Rhinolophus ferrumequinum: one gene and its partners. The protein of the gene in region 3 interacts with the protein of the main gene of each other region in a pairwise test. Links are inferred from orthologs where the notes say so. Each region holds a gene or a part of one and is shown on either strand. Other genes may lie near its edges.

Region 1 (7,480 bases), on a different chromosome or scaffold from region 3:
TATCCTATGTGCATGGAGAAAAAGAAAAACACATAGCAAAGAGAAAGATATGAAAGAAAAAACAAGAAACTCAGAGGATAGCTTGACAGCCCCCAACAGTTGTCTAATAATAAGGAGTATGAGAGTAAGAGAATGTAAAAAAATGACAGAGAACAAAAAAACAAACAATCCAATTAAAACATGGGCAGAGGATCTGACGAGACATTTCTCCAAAGAGGACCTACAAACAGCCAATAGACATATGAAAAAATGCTTAACATCACTAGTCAGAGATATGCAAATAAAAACCACAATGAGATATCACCTCACCCCAGTCAGAATGGCTATCATCAACAAGACAAATAGTAACCAGTGCTGGAGAGGCTGTGGAGAAAAAGGAACCCTCATACACTGTTGGTGGGAATGCAGACTGGTGCAGCCGCTATGGAAGGCAGTGTGGAGGTTCCTCAAAAAATTAAGAATAGAATTACCATATGACCCAGCAATCTCTCTTCTGGATATCTACCCCAAAAATCTGAAAACATTTATCCATAAAGACATAATGTTCATTGCAGCTTTATTTACAGTGGCCAAGACATGGAAACCACCAAAGTGTCCTTCGATAGATGAATGGATAAAGAAGTTGTGGTATATATACACAATGGAATACTATTCGGCCATAAGAAAGATGAAATAGTACCATTTGCGACAACATAGATGGATCTTGAGATTATAATGCTAAGCAAAATAAGTCAGACAGAAAAAGTGGAGAACAATCTGATTGCACTGATATGTGGTATATAAAACTGCAAATAACAAAAGAAAAAGACAAAGAAATGAAGAAACAAAAACTCATAGACACAGACATTAGTTTAGTGGTTACCAGAGGGTAAGGGGGTTGGGGGGTGGGAGATGAGGGTAAGGGGGATCAAATATATGGTGATGGAAAGAGAAATGACTCTGGGTGGTGAACACACAAGGGGATTTATAGCTGATGTATTACAGAATTGTACACCTGAAATCTATGTAACTTTACTAACAATTGTCACCCCAATAAACTTTAATTAAAAAAAAATGGCAGAGAAGTCTTATTTCAAGAGCTAGCTGCTGAGTTCATATATGGAAATTATGAACAGTACAAATAAAAGTAAGTATAGTCCTAAACAGATCATATTGAAACTCAGAAATGCAAAAGACCAAATAAATAAACTAACAACAACAAAAATCCTTAAAGCTCCCAGAAAGAAAATACAGTTTATCTAACAGAAATGACAGATTGACAATAACAGGGAAACACAATAGAGATGTAAAACAACTGAATATTTCCAAAATGAAGAAAGAAAATAGTCAACCTGAAATTCTATGCTCAACTAAATGATTATTTAACTAATTTAAAACGTTAAAGACATTTTAGCTGAACAGAAATGAATTTATGACTAAATGAACTCTGAAGCAATGGTAAGAAAACATTTGTAAATATGTTTGGTAATATCATTGTTAAGGAAAAAAAAAAGCCAGCCTGCCAGGTGGCTCAGGTGGTTGGAGCGCCATGCTCCTAATGCCGAGGTCCATGGTTGGATTCCCACATGGGCCAGTGAGCTGCGCCCTCTACAGCTAAGATTCTCAACACCTAGAGCTGGGCTGTCCTCCCCAGGTTGGTGTGAGCTGCCACCGGCTGCTGTGAGCAGCAGACCACCAACTGCCTCAAGGTGGGGTGTGGTGGGGAGGCTCATAATCCCAGCCTGGGCCAGGGAGCTGTGTCCTCCACAACTAGACTGAGAAACAACAGCTTGAACAGGGGCAGGGGAAGGCGGCAGAAGGGGGAGGAAAAAAAAACCCAGAAATAATATGACAAATTTGGATGGTGGTTATAATAAAAAGTGTATCTATAACTCAGCCTACAGTTTAAAAAAGGTGGTGGTGGGGGTGGTGGGAAGCCATCATCAAATTTCAAATATATTTTTACTCTATATTTTTCAGAATGAGAATACATGCTGACTAAATTTAGTATTTGCTGAGACAGACAATCATTTATAAGAATTAAAAGAATACCACAAGCCCATAATTTCCAAACCAGTTGAGAGCAAATAAAAGGGAACAAACTAAACTGAAGACAAGAGAGCAACAACAAAAAGAAATGTAAAGCGCAGTAAATTTAAAAATGAATATGTATTTAAAATAAATATATAAAATATCTGGGGTGTAGAAATAGACACACACATATTAAGAAACAAATTAAACATTTGCGGGTTTATTCAACAAATATTTGAACATTTTCCTAGCAGTAATTTACTGAGTTGAAGGAAACCTGATTAACCGAAAACATAGATGACAGACCAGGAAAGTACTTTGAGTAGCACGTACCTGGGGCTATGAAAAGCCAAGAAATCCCTTCTTCTTCCCCTTTCCGAATTCAGGAGTGGTGAAGAAAAGGATGCACTGGGATAGCACGATAAACTCTGTTTCCGGGATAAACTGCAGGGGCAGAGGACATCCCCAAGCACTAGCGCGGGGTGATTCAGTGTTTCCTAAAAAAGAGATAAAAACTCAGTAAAGTTAGGGAAGAGCTCTGTTTCCGGAAGGATGACAGAAGGGCCACGGCCTTGCTCCTATAGCCCTAACCTCTGTCTTCAGTGGGGCTTCCAGTTAACAGGACGCCGGTGAGGGAATTCACTGTACCAATAGCAAAGCCAACTCCTTATCATGTGCCACCACTGTCCTAAGCTTTGGACACGTATTGTCTCATTTAATTCTAATCACAACCCTCCCCAGTAACTGCTCTCTCTCTCTCGCTATTTTAAGGAGGAGAGGAGAGCGCAGAGATAACTCGCCACATATAGTACCGATGGAAGTAGCAGCGCTGCATGATAAGCCGGCCAGGAGAGCTTCCGCCCTCCGCCTTTCAGCCTCCGCCGGCGGCCGCGACTCCTCCATCCTAAGACAGCCGGCTAGGTAGCGACCAGTCCCGCAGTGAGGCCGAAAAGGCGCGGAGGAATCGCGGGGCGCAGGGCTGACTCACCTCCCGGACAGTGATGGCCTCGCTATCCTGGGGCGGAAGTGCCTTTGACTACTCGGCACCCAGGAACTACACTTCCCAGAAGCACCTTGTTTCCGGACAGAGATGGGGAATACATTTCCCAGAACCTCCAAGAGGAGGAAGAACCATGTCCGCCCTATTAGATCTACTAAAAATAAAAAATACAAAAATCGCCAAATTCTTGGAGTTCCCGGCCTACAAACTTACAGCTTCCACAAATCCCTTTAGTGGCTTCCCGCCATTTTGCCGGCCTCAAGCATATCTCTTGACGCCAGTAGAGTTTAGCTGTTTTTCATTGAGAAACGAAACATAACACTAGTAAATATTTGAAGTCAGTCTTGTAAGAAATACCACGTGATGCTTTACTGATAGGATTGTACCCACTACTACCCGAAAAAGGAAAAAAATGATAGCCTCTATTGTGCAGTTTCAGGCACTTTTTAGATATAAAAGGAATGGGAAAAAAAGCAACGGAGGCAGAATTATATTACAGATTTCCACGTTTGTTAATAGCACAAATAAGTCAGAACAACTTGCCTGTTGAGGACAACTAGACATACTCAGGGTGAAAAGCCACGCTTCAGCACAGACTTGTATGATCAACTTCTCAAAGCAGTAGAGGTCATTGAAATCATTCCTCAGGAAATTTACAAATTTGAAAGATAAACACATTGTTAATTAGATGTTTAAACATGGTCACTGTAAAGACATATCCATAAATACACACAATACATGTTTGCGTTTCTCATTTACTGAGCATATATACCTTTATTCTGCTACACACAGCTATCTCTTATGGAGTATGTAGTGTGTGCCAGGGACTATTCCACTCTTAAGACACTTCATCTTCACAACTATTTTTTTTAAAGTAAGTACCATTGTTTCCTCTATTTTACAGTTTAGGAGGCAGAGGCAGCAAGAGGTTAAGTAATTTTCCCACATTACTGTAAGTGCTAGAGCCATGTTTCCAAATGTGGTGTGCGATGACCAGAACCTGAGTGCTACCCACTACATTGACCACATCTTGCTTAATCAACATGAACAGAATATTTAACTTCAATCAATTTATTGTCCTTTGTGTTGCCAGAGAGATATATCCTAACGTGGAAATTCAATTATTTTCACCCGCATGTCTATCTAGTACCCCAAAGAGAAGAAACAAAAGTTTTAGCCAGTCACATAAACAGGAATCTTCCCTATGCTGGTTTCCTCTTCACTTGAAAAGAATGTATATTCTGCTGCTTTGGGGTGAAATGCTCTAAAAATATCTATTATATCCCTATGGTCTAATGTGTAATTTAAGGCTGCTGTTTCTGTGTTGATTTTCTGTCTAAAGGTTCCGTCCATTGGTGTCAGTGGGGTCTTAAAGTCCCCTACTATTATTGTGTAACTGTTGACGTGTGCCTTTATGTCTGTCAATATTTGTTTTACATATTTAGGTGCTCCTATATGGGGTGCATAGATGTTTACTAGGGTTATGTCCTCTTGTTGGATTGATCCATTTATTATTATATAATGGCCTTCTTTGTCTTTTAGTATAGTCTTCATTTCAAAATCTATTTTGTCAGATATAAGTATTGCTATGCCAGCTTTTTTCTTGTTTCCATTTGCGTGAAATATCTGGTTCCCTCTTCAAATCCACGTTCCACTCTACATGTCCACCCATGTTCCTTATGTCACATCTTTCTGCTCTTTTCTCTTCTAGGTCATAGTCTTCATCCATAGCTTAAATATTCCCTGATCCAGTAAGACCTCTGTAGCTTTTGTTTTGTAGACTAGTAAAAGCAATGTGCAATAACCAAGATTACAGACTTGGAATCGGCTGCCAAGATTAAAGTACTAATTCTGCCACTTATTCTGTGAGCTCTGTCCCTTTCTTCTTCATTTGTACAATGGAGATAAATAATAGGGTTGCTATAAAGAACAAATGAACAAATACACATAAAACCACTGGAAACTCAAACTCATGACAACCCTATAAAAAGTTAGGAAATATTATCCTTGGTGGAAAACACTGGACACATAAATTACGGATAGTAGGTTTCTAAATAAGTGTGCTTTAAGTCATTAAAATAGATATCAATAATTACATTCAAATTTGAATGCTATGAGAAAATCAGTAGATTCTGCATCCCACTGAAAGTGAGATAAGGAATCACTAAAGTCTATATTATTCCCTTCTGTTGTTTCCTAAATCCTTTTCAGGAATTCTGAATACAGTCTAACTGAGCTGCAGGCCCCTGTACCGTAACAGCCTCAACCACTGAAGAACTCCTCTCTCCTAGTCTCTGGCTAGGTGCTAAGCAAAATGTAAAGAGAATGGAGCATATTCCCTGCAACAAAGTGGCATGCAGCCTATGGAAGAAACAGATTGGAAACCAAGATCTAGAAGATTGTGCCAAGTCAAATTCCAAATAAAAAAACAAATTTGTAATTATTCCTGTCCAAATCTCAATGTTTGTGTGTCCCTTAGCTTTCTCACATAACTATCATCTGCCAGGAATGAAAATTCTGAAGTTAACCCTTTTGCTTTCCCTATACAATCAATTTATATTAAAGGCTTTTAAATTCTACTCACTCCATGACTGGGATTTAGTTTTGGTTTAAAATATTACAGCTCCCCCTCCCCAAGTCCCCAAGCCCCAAATAAGTATTTTTTGTGAGAAGGGGAATTGATGTGATAAGATAGACAAAATGTTGACAAGGGTTGCAGATGAGTGAACATGGCGGGGGGGCAAGTTTCATTACATTATTTTCTCTGTTTGCATATGTTTGGGCATTTCCATCTAAAACGTTAAGGAAAAAATATGTGTAACACAGCACCAATGCATAAATGCATTAAAAATGTTGACAGTGGTTTATCTCTAAATCCTGAAATTATGGCTAATTTCAATTCTTTCCTTTTTATATTTCTGTATTTCCCAATCTCTCTATAATGAGCATGCATTTCTTCTATAATTGAAATATAAACTATAAAGCTGCAAACCACCTTCTAAACCTGAGAGGAAAAGCTTCCTCAAGCCATATACACAACTATTTCCTGTGATTAAAATAATGTACAGCATAGAGATTAAAAATTCCCTCTGGAGGCTCCAAATCCTTGGGTTTAAATGGCATTTCTGCTCCTACTAGCTGTAAATCTTGGGCAAACAACATAAACTCATGAAGAGGAAATGAAAAAAGAGGATTTTCCTTCTCTAAAGAATCCATTTTTCCTTTCCCTTTTTCATAGAGCATTTCCAAAAGAAACCTAGTGCTTTTGCATCCTTTCTCTAATCTTTTGGTATGCATGTAAATCTTGTTAGAGGCTGACTCTTAACCAAGTTTACAACCCAGAAGTGTTTTCAAATGTCTTGGGTTTGTCCCTTTCGAATGTAAACATCTGAGAAAGTGAGTGTCCCTATCACTGTGGGAGTTTAACCAAGGTGCCTTTCTCTGTAAATCTGCTAGCAGGGAATGATAAGATAAGTTTTACTATTCCTTTGGATAAAATCAATGAACTAAGACTTCATTCACAGTAAATTTTGGATAAATTTATCAAAGAATTTGCAGCAAATGGTGTAGTCAAGTCCTCTTATAGGAAGACAAGATTCCACCGCTAACTTGAGAATGTATATACCTAGTAGTTAAAAACAGAATGCTATAAAAAGTTTATGATTGCTTGACTATATAAATAGGAAATTACTTACAAGACTGTACTCTGATGTGCTTATTCAGTAATAAGATGGCTTTCTTTTCTACATTGTGAAGAAAGGACTTTCTGTGTTGATAGGGTGTTTTATTTCTCTAATATTACCTCCGTTTCCTTATCCGTTAAAAATAAAGGCTGATAGCGGCACCTACCTCATAAGGCTGTTGCTGTCATTTAATGAATTAATTCGTATAAAATGATGAGGGAGTACTAATGATGACATTATTTTGGAGATGAGGATAATGAGATTAAGTAACTCGCATAATGTTTGTTACTCTCGGAAGTGACAGTACGGGAAGTCGGCTGAGGAACGCCAAGAGACCTTCAAATTAGGCGTATGCGACCCGGGCCGCCCCCAACCCGAGGAGCAAGAACCGCTCCAAACGAGAGGTTAGGAGAAGGGAACGCAAACGTCTCCCATCCCTGTGCTCTGCATCTGGCGGCGGCTTGGGCAGTCCCAGGACTGGAGGGGCTCCGGGGATCCAAGACACCATCCTTGACGTCCTACAGTCAAAAGTATCTCCCTCCGACGACAGAACAGGAGCCTGGACCACTTCCCAGAATTCCCTAGCCCTGCCGGCGAGAAGCGGAAGTGCGGCTGACTACACTGCCCCAGACTACACTTCCCAGAATGCCCGAGAGAAACGAGACCATAGCCCCGCCCCTGGAGCGGAAATACCTCGAACTACTCTGAGCTTCTGGGTAGTAATCTCCAGAAAGCCAGAGGAAACCTTCGTAAAGTTGTGCCGTTTTCGAGTGGTAGTGTCTGTTTT
Region 2 (7,616 bases), on a different chromosome or scaffold from region 3:
GTGTGTTACTAGGTTCTTAGGTAATGCATGCACAATAAAAGTAGACCATTGTGGTTACAAGAAGTCACCTATAGTTTATGGCTTGGGAAAAAAATACTTTCAAATTGAAAATATGAACAGTTTACTAATATATCATCTTTGTATGAGGTTTTTACAAGCTGTGTTCTCTTTTTATTCTCCCTGTTCCACTCCAGACTTTTCTGTATCAGTTTAAATGATTAATTACTAATCTTTGAAAAGCATCTTAACAACCCTTTAAGTAGATCATTTTAGAATAAAAGCTGTAATTAAGTCATATTTGTCCAATATCATAAGTCACAGTTGCCTCCAATCAAGGCCAAAATTATATTTTACCTTTAGGATTTTACCACCAATTAATTTCTTTCTTAATTGAGTGGAAAAACAAGCAAAATATATGAATAGGCAATTCTCAAGTGTACAATAAACATGAAAAGACATTTAATCTTATCACTAATCTAAGACAAATACATAATAATAACAAATTAATTTGGAGATATTCATTAAAAATGTGAATAGTGATCACCTCTGAGTGTATTTTGAATTACTTTTAATTTATTTGGATTTCAATTGTAGTAGCTGTCTTCTTTTCAATGTATATCATTTCCACAAAATATAAAGCTATTAAAAAAACTGCCTCATTAGTTGCTTGCTGAAAAATTATTGCCAATGAATCAGAAAAGAGAATTCAGAAACAAAATTAAGCGATTTAGCTATTATGATACAGGTGGTATTTCAAGTAAGTGTAAGACAGAAAGATTATCAAATAAACAGTACCAAGAAAATTAGCTAATTAAAAAAATACATACATATTTTAAAAATCTGGATCCCTAACTCACTGCTTACTCCAAAATACTAATTCCTGATGGTACAAAATTTAATGTGTATTTTAAGCCATTAAAGTACTATAAAAATATAAGACCATTCATGAAAAAGATATCCATAATTTTAAATAAAAATAACAGGTTACAGAGCAATATTTATGGCATAACCCCACTGATTTAAATTATTGTTTCCAAATTATATGTTTTCATTAAAAGTATGAAACGAAAGGATACACACCCAGTAAATTTTATTCACCATTATATTGCCATCCTTTACTACATGTGCCTGGCATGAGACAGGCATAAAAATATATTAGCAGAATGATTAAATAATGATCTCTTATGCATTGTTCGTGGGACTGTAAATTGAGATAACTTTTCAGGAGAGAAGTTGGCAATAAGTATCAAAGAATAAAATGAGCGTACCATTTCAGCACTCCCATTTCTAGGCATTCATCCTATGACTAATTTTCACGAGTATATATAGTAGGTATACAGAACTAATTTTTTATAACTGGAAAAAAATGTTAGTGGAGAGATAGTTGGGAAATAGCTGCCTTGCAACAGGAATCTGGTTAAATGAATTAAGGCAAATATTTCTATTGAATATGCATCTATTTTAAAATAAGACGTTGATCATTTACCTTGAAAATATAGCCACAATAAATTGATAAAAGAGCAGGTTACAAAACATAATATCACGTCACATAGGAAAAACAGTATATACAGATAGGCAGGCGTGTGTATGTATAAATAAATTTCTGGAAGGAAATGCATGAAAACGCTAACAACAGTTATCATCCGGTTGTTAAGATTGTGTATTTTTACTATCATTGGAACTTTCTAAGTTGTATTTTTTCTTTACAATGCTTATATCCTTTGACAATCAGAAATAAAAGTAAATTCATTTACAAAACAGAAAATAAAGGTGCTTCCTAACTTTTAAAAAATATGACAAAGCACAAATCCTATAATGAAAAAGTAACATAAAGGTTCATCTAACTTTCATATTTTCACTTATTTGAAATGAATAATTCATTATATTTTATATTTTGATTTATTACTTGTATTCTATGAGCACGTTTAGATAGTGAATGTAATTAATTATTTTCTACATTAGTATGTCAAATCACCTCTGTGGATTTTTCTGCTTTCATAGAAATAACAAGTTATCTTCCAATTAAGTCTTTAAAAGACTACATCCTGTGAATTTATTCATATACAGATAGGTAATTCTTGTCATTCATAAAAATGGGCTAAATATGTTCCTTACCTTTCAATGAAAAGTAAACACTGGTCTTTTTGGTTGTACCAAGGGAGTTGCTCTGTAGCAGGAAAGAATCCTGTAAATAAAAATAACAGATACCTGTTTTTAAACTTCATTTTGCATATTAATGGACTTCTAAATCATACTGAGTACGGTTAGAATTTCACAATGTTTGCAGCAAATGGGTGGCAGATGACATTGTAACGTATACTCTGACAGATGATGCACTTTCCCTAGCACAAATCCCCCCTCCCATCCTTCTGTTCCTAGAATTGAAAACTGCTGCACAAAAGTATAGAGCAAACCCTCTGCTTTTAAATAATACTATCCAACATTTGAATGCCCTTTTATTTTATCTACAAGGTTGTTGTAAACATTGAGAAGGGCTACGTGGCAAGTCAGCAGCAAGGCTGGGGTGTATTATATGCCAGCTGAAAAACAGAAATATAGTAAAAATGGTGTAATTTGACTCACGGCAACAGGGGTTCGCAAACCTTGTAGATGGATTAAAGCAGGCTTGCCAAACATCACAGACAGCACTTATTAAAACTGCTACGTGGAATGCAATATGCCTGCTTTCTAGCCCCTCCCCCCTTTGCCAATAAACGACTCCCCCTTTTTTCAGTGTAAAAATACATGCTCATAGAATATTTAGATAGAGATTTAAAAAAAAAAGCCTAATCACACTACCCAAGGATGCCATTTGAAGTATTTTCATCCAAGTTTTTAAAAACAGATTTTTGTGAAGAGGCCCCTGACAAATCAAACGGGAATTCAGGATGAGCGGACAGGAGAAGGATACTCCTCTTCCCTTGTCAGGAACTATGGCTAGTATTTTTACCTCAATCTAAGCTTTTTTTTTTTAATTATAAAACTATAAAGATAGAATTTTGTAGGGATAAAACGTCTTCCAGGGGTGTGTGCCCCAGCTACCAAGAAGCATCTGGGAAGGCGGGCGGAGCCTAGGGGGCGCACAGCGTTTGCGCATTCGTTGGGCTTAGCGATCGTCAATCAAGCTTTCCCAACAAATGAGGTGCGAGCTAAAGGCACACTGGGAACTAAATTAAGGGGAGGTAGGGCTGGAAGGGGAGGGGGCTTGCGATGTAAACGGCGGAGAGATCTCGGGGTCTCACACTGCACCACTCCGCGGCGGCACGCCTCTGTCCGCCATAGCTGTCGCCAGGAGAAGCTGGCCGCCGCCGCTCGGGTCAGGCCTCCGCCGCCACCTCCGCGCGATCGCCGCAGCCCCGCCCCTCCCTGCGCTACTGCTGCCTTCGCCGCTGCCGCCTCCTCATCCCGAGCCTGGGCCATCCAAGCATCCGTGAGTCATTTTCTGCCCATCTCTGGGCGCGCGGTCTCAGCGGTAGCCGCCACCTTAAGAGGTTTGCAGGCTTGCACTATGGCAGAAGCGGATCTTAACATGGTCTCGGAACCTGCCGCCCATGGGGTTGCTGAAGAGATGATGGCTAGCTCGTCTAGTGATTCTGGGGAAGAATCTGATAGCAGTAGCTCTAGCAGCAGCACTAGTGGCGGCAGCAGCAGCAGCGGCAGCAGCAGCCGCAGCAGCAGCAGTGGCAGCAGCAGTAGCCGCAGCCGTAGCTACTTATATAGAAAGAAGAGGGTACCTGGGCCTTCCAGAAGGGCGCGGCGTGCTCCGTCGGGTAAAAATTTCGTAGATCGGCTGCCTCAGGCAGTTCGAAATCGTGTGCAGGCGCTCAGAAATATTCAAGATGAATGTGACAAGGTAGACGCCCTATTCTTAAAGGCAATTCACGATCTCGAAAGAAAATATGCCGAACTCAATAAGCCTCTGTATGATCGGCGGTTTCAAATCATCAATGCAGAATATGAACCTACAGAGGAAGAATGTGAATGGAATTCAGAGGATGAGGTGTTCAGCAGTGATGAGGAGGTACAGGAAGACAGCTCTAGTGAAATGCCTGCTTTAGAGGGTGAGGAAGAAGACGACGACCCTAAAGAAAAACCTGAGGTAAAGGCTGAAGAAAATGAGGTTCCTAAAGAAATTCCGGAGGCAAAGGCTGAAGAAAGAACAGAGTCTAAAGATTTTGTGGAGGCAAAGCCTGAAGTAAAAGAAGAGCCTAAAGAAGTTCCCCAGGCAAAGGCAGAAGATAAAGAACAGCCTAAAGCAACAGAGGCTAAGGCAAGTGCTGCAGTAAAAGAGGCTCCTAAAAGAGTTCCTGAGGTCAGGCCTAAAGAAAGAGTGAATCTGAAAAGAGCTCGTAAGGGAAGGCCTAAAAGAGAAGATCCTAAAGGCATCCCTGACTATTGGCTAACTGTTTTAAAGAATGTTGACAAGCTGGGGCCCAGGATTCAGAAATATGATGAGCCCATTCTGAAGTTCCTGTCAGATATTAGCCTGAAGTTCTCAAAACCTGGCCAGCCTATAAGTTACACATTTGAATTTTATTTTCTGCCCAACCCATACTTCAGAAATGAGGTACTGACCAAGACATATATAATAAAGTCAAAACCAGATCATGATGATCCCTTCTTTGCTTGGGGATGGGAAATTCAAGATTGCAAAGGCTGTAAGATAATTTGGAGAAGAGGAAAGGACGTTACGGTGACAACCACTCAGAGTCGCACAACTGCTACTGGAGAAATTGAAATCCGGCCCAGAGTGGTTCCTAAAGCATCATTCTTCAATTTCTTTAACCCTCCTGAGATTCCTAAGATTGGAAAGCTGGAACCACGAGAAGATGCTATCCTTGATGAGGACTTTGAAATTGGTCGAACTTTACATGATAATGTCATCCTGAAATCAGTCTATTACTATACAGGAGAAGTCAAAGGTACCTATGATGATGGTAAAGATTATGGAAACAGGAAATATCGAAAATAAAAAACCAGCTACCTGAAAAGAATTTGCAAGATCTCAAAACTTCAGACAGAAACGAAGCAGGTTTATATAGCCTTGAAAAAAAACCTGTCCTATAACCTCAACACTAGTATTCTTTACAGCCTTGTGCTTTTGTATTTTCTTGGTGGTCTAAAATACTGTCTTAAAATGTCTAAGTGTCAGTTTATTTTATATAGCCTGTTGTAGAGTAATATTCTTTAAAACCTGTAAACTGCTGTCCGTTATCTGAAGCATGTTAGTTTGGTGCTACAGAGTTTTGATTTTTGTGAAATCCTTTTGTCATGTTCCTATCAGAATGTAACTGTGAAAACTGTTAAAATTGTTATCCCAAACAAATATTTGCTTGAACAAAACAAGTTACTAAAGTAACAATACAAGTGTGTGTTTGTTTTTTTCTAGCCCAGAAGACTAGGGCTTTAAATCTGCTTGCACTATCTGTGCCTTCATTACTTTGCTATAGTACTTATATTAACTAGAACAGTGCATTGTGAAATTTGCTTGAAAAAAGATGAACATACTTTTAAGAATGTCTATCAGTACTATATATGATGTGACTGAGCTTGTTTATGTGACGGTGTGTGGTCTATAAATGTAATCATACTGAAGTTACTGTTTACCACTGAAGTGTTAATATGACATAGTATTTAAAAGTTTCCTCCTATAGAGTGTAACTGTAAACTAAATTACTAACCACATTTTTTGTACTGTGTTCTACTTTGCCTTTCACTGAAAATGATCACTACATCATTTGATATTTTTTCATGTACTTCAGTTGCAACCTAAAATAAATAAATGTCAAATAAAGTGTATCATGCTATAAAAATCTAGCATTTTTTCCTAATTATAAAAAGTAGGGCTTATTGTAGAAAAAGTAGAAAATAGGGAAAGGGAATTTTTAAAAAAGTCTAACTCATAACATTCTGCTATATTTTCCAAATCTTAGCTCTTCTTTGGAGGATACACATTCAAGTGATTAGAGAGAAGGGACAGGGTGGGAGACCAGACAAGGGAGAGAGAAGCAGATAGGAGGGGGAGGGAACATGGAGGAAGGTGGAAGAAGGGAGAGGGAAGAGGGAGGTGAGAAGCTGGGAAGGGAAAGGGAATGGGAGGAGGGTTTAAGAAAAAGCAAGGGAGGGAGGAGGAGGGGAGAGGGCAGATAGGGAAAGGGAGGAGGGTGAAGAGTGGAAAAGATGGGAGCGGGTGGGGAGAGGAAAAAGGGGAGGTGGAAGGCAGGAGTGATTCCCCCAGAAAGGACTTGTATATAAACTGTTGCTTTCACTTCGACGAGCAGGATGGGTAAATGTCCCAGGTCCAGGCTTCACCTGGACTAGGGAGGTGGTCATACTCCCAAGTGTGGCTATTTTTTGTCTTATAGGTAGCAGAGTCCTGTCACCACTTCTGCACTGTGCAGCTGGTTACCAGGTAATTTGATCCTAAGATTTTCATTTGAAATTAGTGTGAGGAGGAGGACCCTTAAACTCAGTTTACCAGAGAGCTTCTGCAGTGGACACAAAGGCACAAAATAAATAATAACGTGGCATTTTATTTCATTTGCCATTTCCCTGTCCACATATGTTTTCCTTCAAGACCTTACAGGAAAGAGATGTGGTAGGAGGAAGACAGGATTTGGGAATTTCTGGGTCTCTAGGCAGTAAAATTACGTAATAGTTTTCCCAAATCCCACTATATGTAGTTTCGTTATCTTGCTTTTATTCCTGCTTAACAATAGTCCCCATATCTATAAATATTACATATCTATAAAATATTATCTATAAATATTACATATATATAAAATATTACATATCTATAAAATATCCCCATATCCATAAAATATTACACGCCATGATATACTATATTTAACCAATCACATATGTTTGGATATAGGTTACGATTTATACAAAATCAGGAAGCAAATGATTGCCTTTAATGATACCATTGCAATTTTTGAAAGTGCTTTTGTTTTATTTCTGAGGGTTTTTTTACTTTATTATTTTTTTATTAAATTTATTGGGGTGACACTGATTAGTAACATATAAGCTTCAGGTTTATAATTCTATAATACATCATCTATATATTGCTGTCATTCAGGGTGTCATGCAGGGTCTCCTGTCCCGCTCCCCACAGAAGAATGCAGGATGGGGTGAGGCCAAAAAGGAACACTCACGGAGCCATAGATAGGGGAGTCATAACACTATATTCTTGCTGGCGGCTGGGCTGGAGACACAGGAAGCAGGAACCACACTGTCCGCAACCCAACATCCTAACGGCAATCCGCGCTTGCCAACCACCATCTTCTTGCTCGCCCCCATTTGCTGCTATCTTAGCCACGGCAGTTATATTAGTGGCCAATGGCTCACTGGTTACAGCTGACGGCCAACTAGTCACAGCTGATGGCCATCCAATCACAGTTGATGGCCATTTACTACCTGAGCCAGCACCTTTCCACGTGAGGCCAAGAGCCTGGAAACTGCACTCCTGGCTCTGTCCCCATATTGCATTGTGTTCACCACCTAGAGTCAGTTCTCCTTCCATCACTATATTTGATCTCCTTTACCCTCTTTTACCACCACCCCCTCCCTTACCCTCTGGAAACCACTAAATTGTTAATCAAGAATGGGTATGGCAA
Region 3 (6,907 bases):
AGAGTTTGACCAGCAATCTTTATTATCTTAAATAGTTCCTTAACCTCTCTGGGCTTCATTTTTTTTTTTTTAATTGGGGAATATTGGGGAACAGTATGTTTTTCCAGGATGCATCAGATCCAAGTCAAGTCACTGTTTTCAGTCTAGTTGTGGGAGGCACAGCTCAACTGCAAGTCAAGTCATTGTTTTCAATCTAGTTGTGGAGGGCGCAACTCACTGGCCCATGTGGGAATCGAACCGACGACCTTGGTGTTATGAGCGCTGCGCTCTAACCAACTGAGTCAACTGGCTGCTCTGGCTTCAGTTTCTTTAACTGAAATCAAAATATCTATTTGAGAGGATTACCAAGAGGTCAAAAGGAAATACATGTAATGTACCTAGTATAGTGGTCAATAAATAATAAATCCTTTCCATGGCCTCCCAACATCTAGAGAGAGTCATCCATCACATTAGACATACCTCAGTCATAGCACATTCCTCTTGCACTTTTTACCTGGTCATTCCAGTTGATCTCAATTAAATGATCACCCAGTAAGTCTCAGGTCTGAAACTGGATCTTCATCTAGGTTTCAAAAAAAATAAATAGACCACAATCTTAAAATGTTCAACCTCATAGTAAGAATGGTCTTGTGTTATTCCTAGAGCAGGCCTCCGTGGTACTAGTAAACACTGATCTGAAGCTGGACCAACTGAAGCTAATGGACTCCAATGCTCAACACCATGTGCCTTCTCTCTTCTCCTTTCCCCATAACTTTCCTCTCCCTGCCGGCAGTCTAAATCTATCATCATCTAACATCAATTCTGACTTCTGGCTTCAAAGGTAGAATATTCTTATTTGCAAGGGTACTGAAAAGCAGCACTCTCAGAGAAACAAATACCACTGAACACAAAAGGCAAAGGCAGGAAGAAAACTATCTCCTCAATTCTACCTGTGACCAAGTCCTCCCTTTTAGAGGACCATGCTGTAAAATTAATGCGCCAATAGTATCTAGCAGCCTTTCCCACTCAGACTGTGACAGGACACAGCTGGAACTTTGAGTCATCAGAAGAGACCAAAAGCTTACCAAGGCCAAAATAGAATCTAGCTTTAAGGAGTGTCATACCTAAAGTAAGACTGTGGGAATGGGAGTTGCAGGGTAGGAGTTGGTTTGTACATAGCATAAAAAACCAAGTGCAAAGAAGCAAAACACAGCTATATCTTCCAGCACTGTGCAGGTTCCCCAAGAGCCCTTTGGTAACTTGCTCTTTACAGGTCTGAAGTCCCTTTAACTGTACCCTTCGTTAGAATGTAATTTTTTTCACCACTTTTTGGGCAGGAAAGCTGGAAATAAACCATGGCAAGTGTCACACGTGGTGTCATATGGGGTCTCTGATCCCGCTCCCTGCATAAGAACGCAGGATATGGTGAGGCCAAGAAGGAACACCAACAGAGCCATAGATAGGGGAGTCATATCACTATATTCTCGCTGGCAGCTGGGTTGGACACACAGGAAACAGGATCCACACGATCTGCAACCTGCGGTCCGCTTCTCTGCCAACCAACAAACCCCACTTGCTAGCTGCAATCCGCGCTTGCTAGCTCAGCCACCATCTGCTGCTAGCATAGCCACGGCAGTTATATTAGTGGCCAATGGCTCACTGGTTACAGTTGATGGCCATCCAATCACAGTTGATGGCCATTTACTACCCAAACCAGCACCTTTCCACGTGAGGCCAAGAGCCTGGAAACTGCACTACTGGCTCTGTCCCCACAGCAAGTAACTATTCTTTTTGAAGTGACTCACATTAAAATCTGTAATTAGCTTTCTCAAAAGCATTTCCCATTATGGCAATAAATGGTATAGGCAATGTTTTCAAAGTCTCTGTGAATTAAATACAAAAGCTCTATTCCAAAAATGTATTAACATGCTGTTTAATAAGAAGACTCATGTTCCTAAAAAGAATTGAGTCTACCACAGATAAAGGAATGGAGTTAGGACTGGATATCATCTCGACCAAATCATTCTGCCCCAGAAGTTACATAAAGGGACAGAATTCTCCTCTCCCCGCTTTGAAGCAGAAGCTGAGGCAAAGCTTTAGTAAGCCACCTCTTCCCCAAGTTGGGGTGGGGTAGGCCGGGGTCTACTAAGCAATACTGAAAGTAAAAAAACAACTCATGTAGAGAATTGAAACCAATATGGGTTAATATCTGCACCGTGTTTAATATTATTACAGTTAGAACATAAAGTGGTAGTAGAAACCCTTTCGGATTGGTCTCTATGTTACGGGTCTCTCAGTCCTCCAACATTTACACCTTATCGATTTTCTTAATAGAATCAAATTAGACTGCATAAAGTCAGAAGCCTCCGGAATGAGCCTAATAAACCGGAGAAAGAATACTCACCTACCCCTTTGCATATACCCTCCCCGCTTTTGCTCCAAGTCTTCACTCGCCAAGCAACCTTCTCAGACTCCTTGACTCAGAAAAGTGGGGCGGGTCAGACCTGACCAACTCTCGCGGATCGAGTAATTACCTACAATTTATCCAGAATCCAGTCTACACCATGTATCATTCTAAGCTTTACATTTATTGTCCCACTTAACCTTCTCCACCACCATGCAAGGCAAGAATTACCAGCTGTATTACATAAATGAAGAAACTGAGGCGCTGAGACATTACATGAGAAGCCAAAGATCACAAAGGGCGGAGAGCCAGGACTGGAACCAGGTTTGTCAGGTCCCCAATCGTAAGACTGGAAGCGAACCCGTCCCAAGCGGTTCCTCTCTGGAGTCCCCGACAAGGGTCAGTTTGACCACTCGCATGGCCCAGGTGAAGCCAATTCCGGGGATGCTTCAGGTAGGGGCTCTGAGCGATGCCTCTGTGAACCTGGAGCGCCACTCACCTTCTTCAGCCGCCTCCCCCCAGCAGCAGCGCGCCCAGCCCCGCCGGCTCCACCGCCTTTGCCCCGCCTCCGCGACCGTTACCGCGGTGTGGGAGCCAGGCCTATCCAGCCCGAGCTCGTCAAAGAACCGCCCTCTGCTCCGCCGCCGAACGCCGGGATTTTTCACCGGCCGCCCGGGGAGGCTGGGTCAGCCCCGCGCCCTCTGGTTGGCTCCGCTGTTGGGGGCGGGGCTCACTATTAACGATGACGCAAGATGCTGTGCCTGGTTTGCCGTCTGCGTCTGCGTACTCCTAGCACACTTGTTACAAGCTCTGGCCTCGCAGGAGTTCATATCACTTGGCTGGAGCATCAACTGGCAGAAGAATTCAGAAATACACTTTTGAGGAGGTGAGGGGAGAGAGGCCCGGGCCTCCTGGCCAGCGCAGGCTGCCCTCCACACAAATACACAGGAGGTGACTGCGAGCTCTTGCTGCAGGACAGGTCAGCCTGTTCTGTAAGTTCCAGACCTAGCAGAGCACTGCAGCGCCTGGCATTTGGAGGACCCCAATAAGGGTTTGTTGATGACATTTTATTCTTCCATTCAGCATTTTCCCAATCTATGCAGTGTCAAGCCTACATCGGGCTCCAAAAATGCAGAGGTGGTTGACGATATGATCAAAGTCTAGTTAGGGAGAAGGGTATACACTTTGAAATTAAGATACAGTGTGGTATGATTAGAAAAGGGTGCTGTGGGGACAGAGCCAGAAGTGCAGTTTCCAGGCTCTCGGCCTCACGTGGAAAGGTGCTGGCTCAGGTAGTAAATGGCCATCAACTGTGATTGGATGGCCATCAGCTGTGGCTAGTTGGCCATCAGCTGTAACCAGTGAGCCATTGGCCACTAATATAACTGCTGTGGCTACCCTAACAAAAGATGGGGGCAAGAAGATGGTGGCTGGCACAGATTGCAGTTAGCACGGCGGATTGCAGCTAGCAAGGGATCGGTTGGCAGGTGGAAAAGCGGACAGCAGGTCGCACGTCATGTGAATCCAGCCTCCAGTGAGACTATAGTGGTATGACTCCCTTACCTATGGCTCCGTGGGTGTTCCGTTTTGGCCTAGCCACATCCTGCATTCTTATGTGGGAAGCGGGAGCTGAGGCCACGCAGGCCGCCCTGCGTGACAGTATTATAATTAAGCCTGGGCCCCTTTGATACAGCTCATATCTGCCCTCCCCAAAAATCTAACTCCCAAAGCATTTACAAATATAATAACTAAGAAAGCTGAATGTGGGGCCAGCCGGGTGGCTCAGGTGGTTAGAGCTCCATGCTCCTAACTCCTAAGGCTGCCTGTTGGATTCCCACATGGGCCAGTGGGCTCTCAACCACAAGGTTGCTGGTTCAACAACTCGAGTCACGCAAGGGATGGTGGGCTCCACCCCCTGCAACTAAGATTGAACATGGCACCTTGAGCTGAGCTGCCTCCCAGATGGCTCAGTTGATTGGAGCGCATCCTCTCAACCACAAGGTTGCTGGTTCGACTCCCGCAAGGGATGGTGGGCTGTGCCCCCTGCAACTAGAAAAAACTGCAATTGGACCTGGAGCTGAGCTGCGCCCTCCACAACTAAGACTGAAAGGACAACAACCTGAAGCTGAATGGCACCCTCCACAACTAAGATTGAAAGGACAACAACTTGACTTGGAAAAAAAGGCCTGGAAGTGCACACTGTTCCCCAATAAAGTCCTGTTCCCCTTCCCCAATAAAATCTTTTTTAAAAAAAAAGGAAAAAAAGAAAGCTGAATGTGTTGCATCATTGGAGAGGCAGAGGAGGAAAGCCTTAGGAAGTGTGCTAAGCTGGGATTTTATCCAGGAGGTAATAGGGAACTATAGGCAAGTTTTCAAAGGGCGCATAAAATGGAAAGGTTTTTGTTTGGGTGTCTTCAAGCCTAATTTTCTTGCATCCTGATATATAGGTAAAAACTGTTCAAACAGTCTACAAATATGATCACTGCTTTGTTTTTTCTACAAAAGGAAATCAATTCAATCAGCTCTATTTTTCAGTTCAACAAGTTGAGGATATACAAATAGGGTCCCTGCCCAGCATTTTTAAAAACTCGTAGGGGATTAAGTGATCCAAAAATTCCTAAGGGAAAATCTAACGTCCATATACCAGGCGTCTCATCTGCCCACCATTGACGTTGCATTTTATAACCACATGGTGTCGCTGTTGACAACTTGTATTTTCCAACTGGTCAAATGACGCACGTCAGTGGCGATGCAGTTCCCACAATGGCCAACAGGGATCTCCCACGGCAGGAATCAGCCAAGGCATCTCCCACAAGAAGGCCTCCGTCACAGCTCTTACTTTCAGGCCCATACTCAGCCTTACCTAGGCAACAGGGCCCACTGTGAGTTTGATCTGCCCCATACAAACATATCCTGAGTTCCAAAAGGGAAAAGGGGTTACCATAATTGGGAATTGGCACTGGGGTGGATGCTCCTTGAATCACATGAGTTGGAAGGTGGAGGCATGTCTACTTAAGTAAAACAGTCCAGTAAGGGGCGAGAGGACAATGGATGCTAGATGGATAACCAGTATCCTTCATGATCTTCAAGCATGAGAAGGCTGAATACTTTCTATTTCCTAACACTAGACCCTTCCTCTCATTGCTCCTGGATTTTGGGTGTAGCAAGTAGAGGGGAGGAAGCTCTAGACAACTGTCCTCTAAAGGAATTCTCATCTTAGGGACCACCATCTTATGACTGTCCAGCACCTCTCTTTGCTAGAGAAGGGAAAGACTCTGTACACAAGTTCAGTCTTCAGCTCAGCATCCTGCTGCACTGGTCTTAAAAGTTTTGTATGGGCCTCATCCACTTATCAGGATTGTGATGGTTCTAAACACTTATTTAACATCCACTCATTTACAAGAAATTTATAAAGTGCCTGTTATGTACTAGGGATTGAACTAGATGCTGAGTTTACAGTGGTGAGTAAACCAGATGTTGTTCCTGCCCTCATGGAGTTTACAGTCTAGTTGAGAAGAGAAATGTGAAACAAACACAAATAAGCATATAATTGTGACAAGCGCTATGCAGGAAGAGAACAGGGGTGTGTGGAGGAGGCCTTTCTGAGGAAATGAGATTAATGAGGTGTGATCAAAAAATACAGTGAATGCTGCTGCTGAGTGCCATCCAACGGAAAGGCAGGGATCTTCAATACGGAAAGTGGCACATCGAATCTTAGTAACAGTGTGACAAGTTTCAACTTGTTTAATGCAGTCTGTTGGGTGTGAGCTATGGTTGAGAGAAGGTGTGTTTCAAAGTGTGCCGTAAATCATCCTCCATCATGACAACGCTTCGTGTCACACATTGCTTCTGGTACAGCAACTTCTGTCAAATAAAAACATTACGGTGTGTCCTCATCCACCTCATTCACCAGAACTGGCACCATGCAACTTCTGGCTCTTCCCCAAAGTCAAAATGACCATGAAAGGTAAATGTTTTGAATTGATTCAGGACATCAAGGCAGCCACGACAGCGCAACTAAGGACACTCATGATAGAGGACTTCCAGAACTGCTTCAGAAAGTGTCAAGAACAATGCGATAAGTGTGTTCGAAGTGAAGGGAGTATTTTGAGGGGGATTAATGGCAATGTGTCTTTTACTGTAATAAATTTTATTTAAACATTCACCATATTCTTTGATCACACCTCGTAAGCTGTGATCCAAAGCCACTCTTCATTTCGGCTTACTGCTTTCCTCTGTGCTTGGCCTTCTCAGTATAGATTTTAGCTTTCATTAGCAATTAAACAGATCTTTTCATTTCTAAACTTCTAAACTGATTCTCAAATTTTCTCCTGGGTATAGAACTATCAGGTTTCTTCCCACCACAAGGAGTATGTCAAATATGAATGACATTGGGTGATGAATTCTTTAAGATTCTTCAACTCACAAGTCTTTTAGACTTAGGCTCCTTTTTTACACTAATAATTTGTTTCTGCGTCCCACATGAGAATTTGAACTCCTGGGGACATGGATCATATCTTACTT
Region 4 (7,783 bases), on a different chromosome or scaffold from region 3:
AAAATCTAAGTGACCAACAAATCATTTCAAGCACTTTTGCTATGGTATATCCACATATATAAAATACTGACTCACCTCAAAGCTTAAAATTTTTCTCCAAGGTAGTGATTTTCTCCCATTCTCTGATTCTAAAAATGGGAACCCAGGTCCTTTAGCTTTAAATTGTTTATTTATTTGTGACCTTCTAGTGTTTTTCCTTCCTTCTGGTCTTCCCCTTGGTCTTCCCGTTGGCTTATATTTCCTCTTTTTATACTTCTTTTTTTTCAGTCTTTCAAAAATAGCTTTTAAAGTCAATGGTCTTGGTTCAAAAGATGAGTCACTAGATGAATCTCTTGCTTCAACACTTTCAGGTGAATGAACAAACTTTCTAATTGTGTTTCTTTGCCTCCGTTTAGGTGAGTGAGGAACACACTGAGTTTTAAATAAGCTGCTACCAGAGGAAGAGTTATCACTAGGGAAAAAAGGGGGAAACTTAATTGCATCCTCTTTATATAATAGAATGCTTATTACCAGTAAAGTACTTTTCTTTCACCAAAGCAGGAAAACATGCTCAAGATAATTTTTAAAGATGGGCTCAGTACTAGCCAAGCACTTAGTTCTGATCGCTCTACTTTAAAATAGCCCCAAAGGCCAAAGCACTCACCAAATAAACTTCCAAGAGAAATACAAGTTCTACTCAGGCAGTCTTGTTCAATGCTGGAGGCTCCTTTAAATAACTCAAGAGTTGCCTAGTAGGTATACTAGAAATACTGATTTGATTACCCATTGAAAACAACAGATGAAGTAAGGAGATACCGCCATCAAAGACATAAGCCAAGCATAATGTGCAATAAGTTGTGTTTTTATTTTCCGAAGTTGATTTTTAAGCAAGATTGCCCACTGATGTCCATTTTCTTGTTATAAAATTAGAGTTAGTCAGGAAGAGATAGATATTAAGTTGGCCCAGAGAATATACTGTTTTCCTGGGTTAAGAAAGTGTTCCACTGTTAACTACGTAAGTACATAAACTTGGAAGGTCTATGTAAACCAGGTTTTTCTTTTCATTCCTAATTCTTGAAAATTACCTTTACCACTCATTATCTACAACGATTGATGCCTTCCTGGTGATTCAAATACAGTAAATATTATCATCGAATCTAGTGTTTTCCAGTAAAAAACTGGTGGTTAACACAAAAAAAATGCACTTACCTTTGATTGTCAATTTCCATAGCTGAATCAGATGCTGTTACATAGTCAAGAGAATCCATTCTTGATATGTATCTTCTCCAAGTCAAAATTATATGTCACTTGTTCTTTGCTTTAACCAAATTTCTGACAATATAAAAAACAAATATGTAGTTTCCTTGAACAAATCAATGCCAGCACAAACAGCTAATATACCAAAATGCAAAATCTGATGTAGTTAGATTATGCCATTATATGTAAATCATGGCAAAAATCATTTACAGGCCTTCAATATTTTCATTTAGGAAGCAACCATTTCAGATCAAATTTTAAAATCTAGAAGTTTTATTCACAAGTTCTTTCATTTGTGTCTCCAAAGTTATCCAATGGAACAAGATTCTAGAAAAGTACTGTCATTCCCAAGAAAAATATCAAACATCTTCCTATAACAGTAAAAAATATAATTTCATCACTAGCCATATAGTAATGTGCAATTACGAGTATTAACATTCAATTAGTGGCCCAAAAGCCATTTTCCAAGAGCAGATAGGAACTCCTAGGAAAAACTTATAAAGCAAGAAGGCAAATCATGGCCTCAATATACCAGGAAATATAATCATCACAATTTACTATCTCAATCCAATACACCACACTAAACTCCCGGTCTGGAATTTTCATTTATGGCCTCTTTCCATTCATAATACGGCTTATCAAAATCAATGAAACCCTCTTTCCTGGCATATTATCTCTTTGCCATTATGGGTATTAATTTAAAAATTTTGAATTCTCAAACGTTTCAATGAAAGATTAAGACTACAATGGTGCCCTTTGTCTTCCTTTTAAAAAATCTCTTTGGAAGATTTTAGAGTAGTTTGGTACAAAATAATTTTTAAAAAACATAACATCTCAATACTGCATCTCCCTTATAGAAGATGCTATCATTCTGCCACTTTTGTATAGGTGGGAATGACAAAATTGAAAGGAATCTTAGGATAAAATAGCAAAATATTTCAAATATTGGAAATCAATAAAGTCACAAAGATCTTAGATTTGTAAAATATCCAGCAGATTCACGTGGTATCTTCATGGTATCATTGTAGTTTTTTAATGCAACTTCTAATTAAGTCACGAAATAAATGCACAAAAACGAATTCAACAAAATTTGGACCAAAGGCACTGGTGGTATTCTTGAGGTTAAAGTGGAGTTAACTCAAAAGCCACTTTTTCGGACCCTTGTTTAGAAAGCATTCCTACTTAAGCGTCGCTTCCTATTCTAAGATTCTACGATGAGAGGCCACGTGGCCAGACAATGCACTTTACCAGCGCTAACTATACCTTTCAACCACTTACCATGTGTGACCTTGGGGCGAGTGTTTCCAGGAAGGACCTAACCTCATGCATGGAAAATGGCGTAATTGTTACTTCACACTAATTAACTCAGAAAACCTGTATTTGTCGATAATACTTTATAATACAACCCAGACACAATGGATCACGCCCAAAACAACCGCGAGCCCTCCACCCTCAAGGCCTGACTTCTACGGCTCGCTATTCCCTAAGCAACGTGGTGGACCCGGTAAAAGGTAGAAAAGCAACCCCTCCCTGCCCCACCAGCCCCGTGCGGCCATGTTCTCTTCCTTACCCATCCAGGTCGGCAGTCAGCTTGCACCAAAAAGGAGCGGCTCACTACGGAACTCCGCAGCCTACTCGCAGGCTGTAGCCCAGGCCTCGGGGGTCTGCACCCAGCAACCTTCCGGGCTCAGCACTCCAACGTGCCGACATCTACCCACCTCTCCAAGGACCGAAAGAAAAGGCTGAGGTAACTGCGCGACCCACTTAATAGTGGGGCCAAAATCTCGCGGTAACAATGTACTTCCGGAAAGAAAATGAGAGGCGGGAGACGCCATTTTGATCTCCGCGAAAAGAGGAGCGATTAAAAGTGGGCGGAGCTTTAGGGAACTCAGAGGAGGCGGAGTTGAAAGAGACAGGATTCTGGTGCAGGTTTCCCTAACCCAGTAGGTAAGTAGAACAGCCAAGAACATTTCAGCAAATGACAAAAAGAAATTGTAGGATCAAATGAACGGAATGGATGCAACCTGAGAGGAAACAGCCACTCAACATGATTTGTTTCCGGTGGTCTCGCCTTTGCTTAGCTGTGGTCCAGGGTGTGTGGGGGTGTGGGGATGAGTGGGGTGTCTGTGTGCGGTGCCGAGTGTGTTTTGTCATATTATGGATAGTTTTGTCTTCAAAAAAAAATGTTCTCTGTTACATTGTGAAAGGATCATGCCTTGACCATTATTCAAAATACGTAACCTTTGTACTAGAAGCCAGTGTTACTCTGTAGCACACCCAGTTCCTCTCTGCACCTTTGGACTTGTTAGCTCCCTCTTTCACTTCAAACTGAGGGGTCAGCTTCTCAGGAGTTGATTAACGTATCACAAGAGAAAACAACTTTTTTTTCTGTTTTTTCCCCTTAGTTCCCTAAACGGTTACTGAGTGTTAAAACAGTTTAAACTAGCTAAATTTTGGTGGGGTTTCTTTCCCAAAATAGTTACAAAAAGGAACTAGCTGGTTTGATTTGTCCACTTTCATACCTCTTTTATCATATGATAAACCAGTAAAGCTGTCTAGTGTTAGTTTATAGTTACTGTCATCTCAGGATTGGACAGACGTGGAAGGTAATCTGGTCTCTTCACTCAGTTTTCCTCCAAATATTGAACAATTCCAGGCGTAAAGTCTAATCCTTTAGGCATTTCCAGTCTATGAAAGGTAAGTATCACATATCTTACGGCCATATTCAGGAGCAGGCCTGGCCATGTAATCTGTGAGGCTCAGTACAAAATGAAAATGCAAGGTCCCTTGTTCAAAAATCAGGGGGAAAATGTTAGTTTATTATTGATAGCATTATTGTGATATTAATTATGCTATTATTAATTACTAGCATCAATTTGCTATTTAATTCACTCTAAAGAAAAATTTTAAATTATTAGCATGAATTTTACCATTCTTTATATTGTGCGCTGCCAGTTTTAAATACACATATAAGAACATTTAACTCGTATGGAGAATCACTGAAATTTCACAATTCATATTTCATAACTCATATAAACATCTACTGTTCTTACTAAAACGGTGGGGAATGCACAAAACTAACTCACCTGTATTTATTTTACTTTTTGATGTACACTCTATCGGTACTATGGAATCTGAGGACTTTTGTTGGGATGGTTTTTCCTGCAGGCAGCCCCCCTAAGAGCTCAATCCCCCTCCTCCTCCCATACCTTATCGGAGATGTCTCCCGCGGGGACAATAGTTAGAGGCCTCCCTGTCAAAACAAATGTTAAAGAAACACAGCTGCTAGGGACAGATCTCCCTGGCCCCCTGGCCAGATTTCCCCCCCAACCTGGAGGCCTAAACATATAAAACAAAGCGCCTGACCCCAGTTAGTGTTCAGTTCTTTGGGAACAATCCCACTGAGCCTGCTAGCGTAATAAAGCTGTGTTCTCCCTGATCTCTGCGAGCCGCTTGAGTCTCTCGGTCCTCGTCATTTCTTCCGCAACACTTTGAGTCTTCCTAAACCCCCATGTATCATGAGTCCACCAGAATTCTATGCTTACCCAGCTTCACAAATGCTTTATGTGAATGGGGGTAATTTGGAATGATGGTGGGCGTGCACATCGTGCCTCTCTCCTCTCATCCCAAGCATGCTCCTTTGTCCTATCAGTCTTAAACAAAAGTTCAAACATAACATTAAGAATTTCAAGATGGTGACAACAGAGCATTAAACCAAGTGCCATTCTGAGCATATTGCCTTGTGTAACTACCCTAGTTGCACACCCATGAAGCCAGCCCTGTCCCAGGGCCTTAAGTCTGGTACATTGTTAATGTTCAGTAAATAATTAGGCTGAACTGGTGTCCAGTTTGCTACACACTTGGAAGTGCTAGAAAAAGAAACAAGGCAAAATGGGATCACTTTTGCTAAGCACATTCACCAAACCAAAACCTAATAACTAGTCTAATTGCAATTTTAGCCTTTCCCAGGAGTGGAATTTTTAAGTAATCGGTATAGAATATCTTGATCAAAACTAGTGAGGTAAACTGCTTGATAAAACCCTTGGCATTCCCTTTACCCCAAAAGATGACCTGGCCTAAAAATAATCCTTTCTATTCTTTTGCTAGTATCTTGCCAGCCACACCCTTCTGCTTATAAAAACCTTCTATTTTTTACAACCCCTGGGAGCGCCCTTCTACTTGCTGGATGGGATGCTACCTGATCCATGAATCGCTTAATAAAGCTAATTAGATCCTCAAATTTACTCAGTTGAATTTTCTTCTTTAACAGAAGTCAGATAAGAGAAACACAGTTCTATCTTCAGGGATCACAGCCTAGGGGGAAGAAACAGAGCAACAGATGGTGACAGGTAACTCCTGTTACCCAACTTGTGGGTTGGGTTTTCAGTTCTCCCAGGATGGAAATCGTGCGAGAAACAATGAAATAACCAGTTGTCAGTAAAGGAGAAAAGAATTTTTATTAAAGGAGGATGGGATGGTTTGATGCATCAGGAGAGCTCACAACTAATGCTGGAGTGCCTCCTCATCTGGCTGAGTCCACCTTTTACACGTTTCTCAGTCCTTTGTTCTTGTTTGCTCGGGGAAAACTGCTGGCTTCCGCCTGCTGGTTCCTCATGACTTTTTTGCGCAGGCATAGTGGCCGTACATATTCTAACCTACTGCTTCATGCATAGCATGTTTAATTAGCATATGAAATCTCCCAGGGGTGTGTTTTGTACTATGCTAATAAGCTAAGGTCAAGAAAAGGACAGATTCTAGACTTAAAGTGCCTGCATCTATCTAAAGTGCCTGCATCTATCTAAGTCGGAACTTCCCGGGCCTGTCAATTTTCTTTGTGGTCTTCCAGCCCTCATAGCGGTTGTTTTTATTGATTAGTTAACCTTGGCTTCCTGCCCTTTGAGTACTCTCACAGATGATTTTCCAACATCTACCCCAACATTCTGAGTACTGTAAGATCACTCTATGCAAATTCTTCCTATTTGTTGAAATGTGTCATTCCTTCACCAGTTAACTCACATGATATAAAGTAATAAGTTCTGGCTTTACAGTGGGCTGGACTTAGTTTGAATTCTGTTTCTACCAGTTAATAGCTGAGTGATCTCTAGTCAATATAGTGTTTTTAACTGACTTTCTCTTTTATGAAATGAGGATAACATACATCGTTGTGAGAGGTTTTGAGAGAATGTAAAGTGCCTAACAGTGTGTCTAGTACATAATATGCAGTTAATAAACAGTTATCAGCTTGGTTGCCATAGTTTGTTTACCCCTTTTGGGCCTTGTTTCTGCAGCTCCACTTACCCAACTGCCTATTTCTATTCTTCCCTTCGCTAGACCTTACTTCTGGGCCACTGACTCCCAGCAATGGAATCTGAAGAATAAATATTGTGTGCCTCCCTGTGGCTCAAAGCTGTCCCCCTGTGGCCACTCTGACTTTGTATTACAACCTTTATAATTCCTTTCTCTCATCACTCCAACTCCAACCTCCTCTTCCCTCTCACACTATACACGCACTACCACACTGCCTTCCAGAATGTTGGCGGGGCTGAAGTTCTACATTTCTAAACCAATTATTCAGGTAGTAGCCTCCCAGGGTTGGACTTTGTTTCTATTTTGGTGGGTTTGGGGAAAACAAAAAGCAAAAAAACAACTGATCATCTTTTAAAGGGTGTAAAATCAGGTTTGAATTTAAACTTGAGTCTTTATTATTTCTACTATAAGTAGAAATATCTAGTGCTTTTATTATCCTCATTATAAATGTATTTATTCATTGAGCAGATTTTGACATGTTCTTAATTAGTACTTGCTGGTTTCTATAAAGAAAATGTGGTAAGATGTTAATACTTGGGAAATATTGTTGAAGAGTATACAGAATTATTTGTATGTAATTTTCTGTCCATCTGACATTATTTCAAAAGTTAAAATGGCTAATTCCTGAACAGTTATAGATTATTCAATTCAAAAATGTTTGAGAAAATTGAATTATGATTATATAGGACTTGGGGCCCATTATCAACTGTTTATATTTTATTTGAGACCAGTTTATGCCTATTAAGTAATTAAAGGATAATAAAAGTACTAAAGTAAATGTCAAGTCCTAAATGTATGCAATAGCATGTTTGTAGGGGATGTGTTTGGAATTATCATCAAAACTAAAAACCCAATTTCTAAGAAACTTGTGAATCTTTGGAAAAGTTAAAAAGAAATTTTTGAAAGAATTTTTCAGGGATGCTGAAGGTCACCTTTCAGTTACTAAGTAAGCATGGACCAGACTATTCAGATTAATGAGGTTTTCCATTAACAATTTTAATGAGAACTCCAACAGTGCTCTTAGAGATACTCTCCAGTTTTGCCTTTATACCCTATTGCAACTAGCCTCCAGTGGGATTTCTCACCCACCTTATTACTTTTGTTTGGGTTTATTTTTTTCTTTTGCCTTCATTTTATTTATCTCCCTCTGCTTGCACACCTCATCACCTGAACATTTGAGGTAAGATACTAATTTCTATGTATATATGCCTACTTACTGTAAAATACACTTAACCATATA

What was found.
Region 1: the proteins of CEP70 (region 3) and ZNF227 interact in binary tests that used the Homo sapiens proteins (3 or more experiments, as listed by UniProt). The two-hybrid records come from large-scale screens. The link is inferred for Rhinolophus ferrumequinum from reciprocal best matches to the Homo sapiens genes CEP70 and ZNF227.
Region 2: the proteins of CEP70 (region 3) and FAM133A interact in binary tests that used the Homo sapiens proteins (3 or more experiments, as listed by UniProt). The two-hybrid records come from large-scale screens. The link is inferred for Rhinolophus ferrumequinum from reciprocal best matches to the Homo sapiens genes CEP70 and FAM133A.
Region 4: the proteins of CEP70 (region 3) and TAF1D interact in binary tests that used the Homo sapiens proteins (3 or more experiments, as listed by UniProt). The link is inferred for Rhinolophus ferrumequinum from reciprocal best matches to the Homo sapiens genes CEP70 and TAF1D.

The regions. Positions count from the first base shown.
Region 1 is NC_046298.1:40,959,562-40,967,041, reverse strand, and holds the start of ZNF227 (zinc finger protein 227), read right to left. Parts: upstream 3,024-7,480; 5' UTR 2,823-3,023; intron 2,508-2,822; 5' UTR 2,344-2,507; intron 1-2,343. UniProt on the Homo sapiens protein: May be involved in transcriptional regulation.
Region 2 is NC_046284.1:60,758,887-60,766,502, forward strand, and holds the start of FAM133A (protein FAM133A), read right to left. Parts: upstream 3,021-7,616; 5' UTR 2,800-3,020; intron 2,186-2,799; 5' UTR 2,116-2,185; intron 1-2,115. Other genes in the region: NAP1L3 (nucleosome assembly protein 1-like 3), read left to right, coding at 3,509-4,972.
Region 3 is NC_046300.1:37,673,578-37,680,484, forward strand, and holds the start of CEP70 (centrosomal protein of 70 kDa), read right to left. Parts: upstream 3,014-6,907; 5' UTR 2,883-3,013; intron 2,873-2,882; exon of another isoform or gene 2,615-2,872; intron 563-2,614; 5' UTR 494-562; exon of another isoform or gene 460-493; intron 1-459.
Region 4 is NC_046294.1:64,901,709-64,909,491, forward strand, and holds the start of TAF1D (TATA box-binding protein-associated factor RNA polymerase I subunit D), read right to left. Parts: upstream 3,012-7,783; 5' UTR 2,807-3,011; intron 1,312-2,806; 5' UTR 1,248-1,311; coding exon 1,189-1,247; intron 452-1,188; coding exon 76-451; intron 1-75. UniProt on the Homo sapiens protein: Component of the transcription factor SL1/TIF-IB complex, which is involved in the assembly of the PIC (preinitiation complex) during RNA polymerase I-dependent transcription.